Linked DNA regions of Macaca mulatta. The protein of the gene in region 2 interacts with the protein of the main gene of each other region in a pairwise test. Links are inferred from orthologs where the notes say so. Each region holds a gene or a part of one and is shown on either strand. Other genes may lie near its edges. The genes, in order: ERG28 and AQP2.

The links.
Region 1: the proteins of AQP2 (region 2) and ERG28 interact in binary tests that used the Homo sapiens proteins (3 or more experiments, as listed by UniProt). The link is inferred for Macaca mulatta from reciprocal best matches to the Homo sapiens genes AQP2 and ERG28.

Annotation. Positions count from the first base shown.
Region 1 is NC_133412.1:148,867,489-148,871,865, reverse strand, and holds the start of ERG28 (ergosterol biosynthetic protein 28 homolog), read left to right. Parts: upstream 1-1,316; 5' UTR 1,317-1,726; intron 1,727-4,377.
Region 2 is NC_133416.1:57,123,687-57,128,225, forward strand, and holds the start of AQP2 (aquaporin-2), read left to right. Parts: upstream 1-1,501; 5' UTR 1,502-1,586; coding exon 1,587-1,946; intron 1,947-4,539. UniProt on the Homo sapiens protein: Forms a water-specific channel that provides the plasma membranes of renal collecting duct with high permeability to water, thereby permitting water to move in the direction of an osmotic gradient. Plays an essential role in renal water homeostasis.

The DNA.
Region 1 (4,377 bases), on a different chromosome or scaffold from region 2:
CCATCTTTACTAAAAAAAAAAAAAAAAAAAATTAGCCAGGTGTGTTGGCTCATTCCTGTAATCCCAGATACTCGGGAGGCTTAGGCAGGAGAATCGCTTGAACCCGGGAGGCGGAGGTTGCAGTAAGCCAAGATCGCGCCATTGCACTCCAGCCTGGGCAACAAGAGCGAAAACTCCGTCTCAAAAAAAAAAAAAAACCTTGAAAATATTTATTTAGACTCTATGACAAGCACTCTGACAAGATGCCATCATGTTTCCCGTAAAATAAATTCAACAATGAACCGAAAGATGAATATATTCTCTTGAATCAAAGGTCCATATAAATGGTTGGGGGGGAGGGGGGAATGCCCTTCCACTCTTAAAAATTATTCTTCCTTACTAAAAATCACAAACTTTGATATGACTCTCAAATAGACAATAAAATTGGAAAATTTCCAACACTGCATTTCTAACTTAAAATATTTTTTCCAAAGTAAAAAGTACATGGTCGTTTTGTGTGTCAGAAGAAGAAATAGGAACTACAAATAAAGAAAAGGAATATGTTTAAATGACCATAATCCCATTACTCAGCGATAATTACTTGCTGTCAATCCTTCTTAACTTTTCCATACATTCATAAATACGATGAGACTGTAAATCAGACAAAAAACAAAAAAACCGACCCCGATAATGATCTTCGGCGCAATGGGCAATGTCTAACGACTTCAATGGCTTTCTTCAGGGGATTCTCAAGGGGGATTTCTTGATCTTTCCCAAAATGTTGGGAAGTCCTTTAAGTTTAAACAAAACCTCTAAACGGGAAGGGATGCCAACCTTTCCTAGGCTGCCTGCAGAGCGGGGAGAAACAGGTCGATCGGAAGATTAAAGACATTCGCCTAAGAACACTCCTCGCCCTAAAGGAATCTGCTTCTCAGCCCCAACCCCAGCTCACCCCAATTCCACGGAGGTCCGCAGATGCTCCCCCCGGAAAGGACAGGACCACTCGGCTGCCGCGAATCAACGCGGCGCGCCCGGAAGCCAACAGCTACTCCCCGGCTCTGAGCGGGAAGTGCGGCGGCCAGCTGCAGCCTGGACCCGGGAACGCTCCTCCCTAGGGTAGGGATGCGCGCTGGCGCAGGCTTTTACCTGTCTCATCTTCCCATGGTTCGGGGCGAGTAGGCGTGGACCGCGCTCTGCGCCTACCTCCCTCTTCCTTCCCCAGCAAGGCTCAGGGCAGCCGCCGACGGCGCTTCCCCGGTTACTACAACAACCAACAAGCAACCGCCCGCTGGGAGCCACTGCGCAGGCGCTGATAACGCTCAGCTGCGGACGCGGGCGAATGTCGTCACCGCCGCGAAGCGCGGGCGCAGAGCCCTGCCCTCAGCAGAAAGTCTTTTTTTTTTTTTTCCGCTGTTTTTTTCTCCGCCCCTAAGAGGTTGACTCCAAACCCGGAGTTCCGCTAGGTCCAACAGGAGGGTTTACGGCGTGAGCGGCGTACCTGGGGAGAGGCTTAGGCAGCGGCAACCGCTGATTGGCAGTAAAGGGGTTCACTCCCCATCTCCTGCTCGGGCAAAACCAGGACAGCCAATCAGAGAGAGGACTAAAGGAAACGACCCAATCCTGGAGCAGGGCTGAGGGAGGGGGTGGGGACAAATGGCTCAGGTGGACTCCGGGCTGGAGCTGTCCTGGGGGAGCTTGTTTGCGGCGGCTGCTGCTGCCACTGCTGTGCTGGGGGTCCGGTCGCCAGGTAAGGAGAATATGGGGGAGAAGAGGGATGTAGGTGTCTGTGTTGCTTCTGATTGAGAGGATCGGAGAATCTGGAAAAATAGAGGTGAGATGGAAGGAAGATACCTGGAAGGCAACCTTTTGGGGGGAAAAGGGTTCGAGAGGCGATGACAAGGGGGAGCTAGGAAGATGGAGAAGGCTGGTGAATTCAAGGAAAGAAGGAATGGATGAGCGAATGAGCAGCCACTATAAGCCTAGCACTGTACAAAGAGCCTTCACTTTTTCTCATATGATTCTTACAATAACCCTTCGGGTTGATATTTCTATCTCCATTTTGCAGATGAGGAAACCGAGACTGAAAAGTGTAAATGACTTGCCCAGGGTCACACAGCTACTAAGTGGTAGGGCCAAGATAAGAATCCCTCTCTCCTGATTAAGTTTTAACAGCACACCTATGCTGGGCTGGGCTGGGTTGGGCTTGGCTGGGCTGGGCCAGGGCCAGGACAAAATTTGGAAATAGATGTTATATACACTCTAGGAGGCCCTAAAGCTTTAGGGAAATTAGGTTGAGAAATTGGCAGAGCAATTCAGAAGTACTCAGGTTCTGTCCTCATCAGCTATCTGTTGGGATTCCTAAGAGCTTCTGTGAAATGGAAGGCGTACTTGTGCAGAAAAGTGGAGAGGTGCATTCATGCAGCTTTTCTAAACCCCGGAGGAGTCTCCTCTTGAGAGAGGGTGAGAAAATAAAGAGGATAGGTGGATCTTGGCCCAAGTGATAATGGCCTATGATATCCAGTAGACTCTCAGTCTCTGACAGAGACCACCTTTGTGATCAGCTCTCCCTGAAGGGTTCATCAATTCACCCTTCCTTCTCTAGATCTCTTTATTGCTTTTTTTTTTGGGGGGGGGAGGGTGTTTCACACTGTCTTGGACCATTGCTGACTTTAATATCTATCTCACTGGGTAGCATAGAACAATACCGAAATTTATATTGCCAAAGTGACAAAGAAAGCCTGTTAGTTTATTACCACTTCAGGCCCAAGAGGTTAACCTGACAACAGATAAACCATAGACTGAGAAAATAGTGATGAGGATGGGAAAAAGCCATTCCATTATTAGATTATTTATCTATTTTGGTTTTATTTAAATCAGACTAACTGAAATTACTACTCAACAAGAGTTGATCTAAGCCTTAAAAAAATAAAAGTCTGGGTGCTGTAGCTCACACCTGTAATCCCAGCACTTTGGGAGGCGAGGCCAAGGTGAGTGGATCACTTGAGCCCAAGTGGAGAGGTTGAGGTGGGAAGATCACTTAAGCCTTTGATTTCGAGGCTGCAATGAGCCATGACCACGCCACTGCACTCCAGCCTGTGTGACAGAGCAAGACCCTGTCTCAAAATAATAATAATAATAATAAATTAAAAAATAAAAAGTATGTAATCTAATTGTATTTTCTATACAACTTGAAGACAGAAGAGGATATGGTATGCTTTTCTTAATCAAAAAATGGGAACTTCATTAAAGTAGTCTCAAACAGTGAGGTAGCACTGCAGCAGTCCAACAGACCATGATTCTTATCTCAGCTCTGCTGACTTTGCTGTGTGACCTTAAGAAACTTGTTTAACCTCTCCGTTCCAACCCTCATCTATAAGATGGAAATATTAATAGTGCCTGCCTACCTCATTGTGAAGATTAAATGGTAATATGTGTTAGGTGCTTGGCACAGTTCATGGTGTAAGTGAACTGTGACCTATTATTATCTTGCAGCCCAACACCAAGATTGCTGTTTCCTTCACTATATAATTTTCTTACTAGTCCTAAAGTCACACGTTAACTTAAACAGGCACAATTTATAAATTTGGAAAAAGAAAAGAGGCTTTATCTCTTGCAAAGGGTTACAGCCACCCAACAGGGAAGAGTGCCTCCCACTAAGATCAGAGACAGGTGCTTTGAAGGAGAAGGGTTTGGGGTAGAGCTTTATGCTGAACAGGTTGGCTAAACATACATGTTCAACAGCTTACAGGAGGAACTATGAATATTCCTGAAGGTGGTCCTGACACGTGCATATTGAACAATCATGTGTAACCACATATGACCCCTGTTCACTTTGAAGTAGAGACCTAACATTTAAGTCTATCACGCCTAGGCTCTATGCGTCAAAAAGTCTTTTCAGGACACCAAGACACTCAAGTGTGTGATCTTGCTAAACTGGCCAGGAGCAGTCCACGGTTGGTGGTCTTATCTGGAGAAAGTTACTAAAATCAGTCTCTTGTCCAATCAAAGGTGTAGTTATAGCTGGTGGAATAGGGGTCATGTAGTCAGCCTCTGTGAGCTGGATGAGCTGTAATTGTTTTAATATTGCTTATCTCAAGCCAGTGCTTGTCTAGCTGCTGGAGAAAAAAAACCTTGTGGCAGAATATAAGTTTTATTCTTTAAATGTGGGAGTGTGTGACTTAACCCTTGCCTGGCATGGCCTTAGGTCTTGTTTATAATTTGGTACCTTATTGCACAAAGAATCTGTTCTGTCATTCTTATGATCTCTATTTTAACTTTAATGCTGGTAAGTTGCTGTCTCTAAACCTGAAAAAGGAAGGGATATAGCAGGGCATGTGAGACCTCCCATCTCGTCATGGCCAGGGGCTCAGTTTTAGGATTTTTCTGGGTTCCCCTAGG
Region 2 (4,539 bases):
GCTCGGTAGTGTGGGGTGTGGCAGAAAGCTCCAGACCAGGCTCAGTCCCAGCTCAGCCACTAACCTGCTGGAGCACCCTAGATGAGTCACTCCCCTCCCCGGGCCTACACTCACCCCACATCCCCATGATACAACATAAAGCGGTCCACTCCAGTCTCCAATCTCTCCCAGATTTCTGTTGCTGGGACTGTGACTTGCCCAGGGACCTGCTGGACAGGAGCTAGGGCAGGGTGCAGAAGCCCATCCTTCTGCCCCCACTCTGAGCCCAACCCTGCTGTGAATCCCCAGGAGGGGGAGCGAGGCTGGAGGGATTAGGGAAGGGCCAGTGAGTGGGGCTGGGGAAACTTCTAGAGTTGAACACTTCCAGGACCCCAGTAGCCACAGCGGCATTGATAGCAGGAGGCAGCACTGCCCAGATGCTGGGCTGAGTGGGCACCAAGGCCAGAGAGCTGCTTATCAGCCATCATAGCCGCCCCGAGCCTGCACAGCTCACTGCCCCACAGAAATGTCTTTCTCCTGTGGCCAGAGTGGCCCTAAGCTCCTCGGGGTTCCTAGGACCTGTCACAGCTTCTGGGACCCCAACACATGAGTGTGCAAAGACCTGTTCTCCTCAAAGTGTAAATAATACTGTAAGGAAGGGCTGATATTCATTGACCACCTACTGTGGACCAGGCGCTGCTCTGAGCACTTGACATACATTGTTTCATTCAATCCAAACCCCAATCCACTAGGTCAGTTTTATTCTTCCCATTTTACAGAGAAAGACAAGAAAGGTTAAGTCACATAGATGGAACAGGCTGATGCCAGAATGGACACCCTCAGCTTCCTCAGCCGCCCCCAGGTTGACTCCATCACCGAGGGCCAGGGTCCCAGTGCCCCCAGGCTCTAGGAGCTGCTATTTGGCTGGGGCTCCCAGGAGAAGGTGAAGCTTAATGATTTATGGGTGATTAGCTGCAAGAATGCAAACGCAGAAGACACAAACCTTTATGCCCTGGAAATCTGTCACAAGCCAACCAGTTGTTTTCCATCCCTGTGAAGCAGGAGTAATTGGAGGTCTGACAGAAGAACTTCCCAGTTACCAGAAGGAGCAGCACTCACACACTCTTAGTTTTGTGTGAGGTATTGCCCCTGCCTTGGTCAACAGTTCGAGTCAGAGAGAGGGGCACTGGGCACAATCCCCACCAGAGGTTCCCATTCACAAGACCCCGTGGGGGCTGGGAGAGGCCCTGGGGCAGCAGCCCTGGGGTAACCAAGGGAACAAACACGGAAAACCAGGGACGTCAGTCCTTATCTGGAGCTCATTAAATGGGGAACATCAGTCAGCTGTGAAGGCTAAGATAGGGTGATAGGCACGTGGGTGGGCTGGGATGGGGCATGGGGGCAGAGGCCGCCATGGAGAAGAGGTATTGGCCTCAACGACTCCACCTCCCCACCACGTGCCCAGATCCGGGATGGAAGTACCCTATAAATGCCCACAACCCAGCCTCCCCAGAGGCCTTGAGAAAGAGAGCGGTAGAGAGCGAAAGAGAGTGCCCAGAGCCTCCTGGCCCTGAGACGGCCGGGCCAGCCACGCAGGACTCCGCAGCATGTGGGAGCTCCGCTCCATAGCCTTCTCCAGGGCTGTGTTTGCAGAGTTCCTGGCCACACTCCTCTTCGTCTTCTTTGGCCTCGGCTCGGCCCTCAACTGGCCACAGGCCCTGCCCTCTGTGCTACAGATCGCCATGGCATTTGGCTTGGGTATTGGCACCCTGGTACAGGCTCTGGGCCACATAAGCGGGGCCCACATCAATCCAGCCGTGACTGTGGCCTGCCTGGTGGGCTGCCATGTCTCCTTTCTCCGAGCCACCTTCTACGTGGCTGCCCAGCTGCTGGGGGCTGTGGCCGGAGCCGCTCTGCTCCATGAGATCACGCCAGCAGACATCCGCGGGGACCTGGCTGTCAATGCTGTAAGTAGCCACAACTTTGCCATCCACAAGGGGCAGATCCTGGGGAATCCCTTGTAAGGGATGAGATGGGAGGGAAGGGCTCTGGGTGAGGTGGGGAGAGAGATGGAGACAGAGGCAGACAGACAGAGAGAGACAGAGCCTGGAGTCAGGAACATAGCCACCATAGGAGGGTCAGGATGAAAGGAGCAATGGTACCAGAGCAAAGGCAGGATGCAGACAGACTGCAGGCTTCTTCCACCCTGACCGTCGTGCAGGAAAAGCCTCATCTGGGTTTCTGTTGGACTCAGTGCCTCCGTTATAGTGAGGACCAGGCTGTAACTCAGCAGGGGTTAGTGTCCCAAGCAGACATGCTTTCCAAGCTGCGGGGAGCCTTGGAGTGCTCATGACAGGGTCCTCAAGAGAGAAGAGGGGCCCAGCCTTTCTTCTGCTTTGAGGGTTTGCAGGCCCTATGGCAGGTGCTCCTTACAGGTCAGGCTCAGACACACCATAGCCCTACAAGCAGCAATGGGCATACTTCCTTCTCCAAACCCTGACGAGGTCCCCGGAGCCCATAAGCTGGCTGCTGATTACATGATACAGGTGCTAACTGGGCCCCGTGGGCCCTTCGGGAGCTGAGGGTGGTGCCACAGTCCCTTCCCCCATGTCCCACCCCCTTCCCCTCTCAGGTCTGTGTGGGCCCTGTGAATCCAAGAGACATGAGTGTGGAGGAACGACCTGTGCTCCCAACAGACCAACTCTCACTCTGTACCCCCATCCTAAGCCAGGACAGCAAGTGCCTCTTTTGTGCCTCAGTCTCCAGCATTTCCTGGCCTGTTCCATCCCTGGGCCACTGGACAAGAGTCCTGATGTCTCTGACAAGTCCTGCACAATCTCTGTGGCCGCCCGCGTCTCTGCACAGGCAGCCCTTCCTCATTTGTGGGACAGGGGTATCCCAGTTAGGGAACTTCTCTGTTTTGTTTTGTTTTTGAGATGGAGTCTCATTCTGTTGCCCAGGCTGGAGTACAATGGTACAATCTCAGCTCACTGCAACCTCCACCTCAAGTCATTCGCTTGCCTCAGCCTCCCGAGTAGCTGGGATTACAGGCATGTGCCACCATACCCAGCTAATTTTTGTATTTTTAGTAGAGACAGGGTTCACCATGTTGGTAAGGCTGGTTTCGAACTCCTAACCTCAAGTGATCCACCCGTCTCCACCTCCCAAAGTGCTAGGATTACAGGTATGAGCCACCACACCAAGGCTCTGTTCTTTAAAGATGAAATTGTGACAAGGTTGGGGGCCAGGGGCCAAGGACAGGCTAGGTGGGCAAGCAGAGGAGTGGGCTCTTTTCCTCTGAGAACAAAATTAGTTCAGTTTACAGCAAGAAGAGGTCCAGTTAGACTGAAAAAGGAACTTCCTGAGAGCATGACCAGGAAGTTCTTCTGTAATAGCAGGGCACTGGGAGTGAGAGGCCATGGGAAACATGCAGTCCTCCTCCTCCATCATTTCACAACTGACTGGGGCCCTCAGAAGAGAAAGGTCTGGGAGGACTCCTCCATGCCACTTCTCAGCATTTACTACCTTGAGGACCTGGGGAGAACCCTGCCTGGATGTAATGGGGCAGTGGTGGGACCAACTTACCCTGAGGCTAAAGAGAGCCAGATGATCCTCAAGACCATCCCATGTGTCCTTTGAGGACACTAAGAGCTAGCCTGGCCACCAGGAATTTAATCATTGACATGCACCTGCCCTGTGCCAGGCCAGCTATCATCTCATCATTGGTACAATGCTATAAGGGAAATTCTGTGGTTCCCCCCTATTGTGAGTGGCAAATTGAGGCTCAATAGTGAATTGATCCAAGTCACAGAACCAATAAGTCATTTCCAGTCCTCCCACCATCCTCCAGAATCCATTTTGTTTTCCCATTTCGCAGAAGGAGAAACTGAGGCCAAATTAAATAGTCTCATGGCAAGTCAGAGGCCTCTAAAGTGTCTGCTTCCAAAGCTCTTTTCACTGTCCTCTAGAGACTCTGCATTGGACAACAACAGAAGGGATTGAGGTTAGACCCTAGAGAGACCCAAGGGTTCTGACCTGATGTCTCGGACCCAGGGGTGGGGGTTCAGGGCCTGGAGAAAGAGCGTGGGAGCTGAGAGCTGTCACTGTTCCACCCAGCATGGTGCCCAGTCCCAGAAGGCAGGGCGTAGGGCACAGGGTGACAAAACCCAAGGAGAAATCCAGTGCTGGGTGTGGCCCAGTTATGAAATCACCTCTTTACTCAGCCCCGAGTTCTCTCCTTACCCAAGGCAGGGTCTGCTGAGACCATGGGCAACCTACATGGGTGTGGAGGCATTGTCCGACACAGCTCCGGGGCCCTCACCCCAACCTCCATAGGATGTGCAGGGAGCAAACCAACAGGGCAAAGCTGAGGCCTGAAAGGCAGTGGAGAATAGACAAGGGTTAAGGAAAAAGGTGTATGGCGGACTCATAGCAGAAAGGGGCACACTAGGACCATCCCCTAGACCCAAGTCCTGTCCCTGGGAGCCATTTGACCTCAGGAAGACAGACCACGGGCCTCTCATTGCACCAGGGTCTGATGGTCTAGAGAGAGGGGAAGGT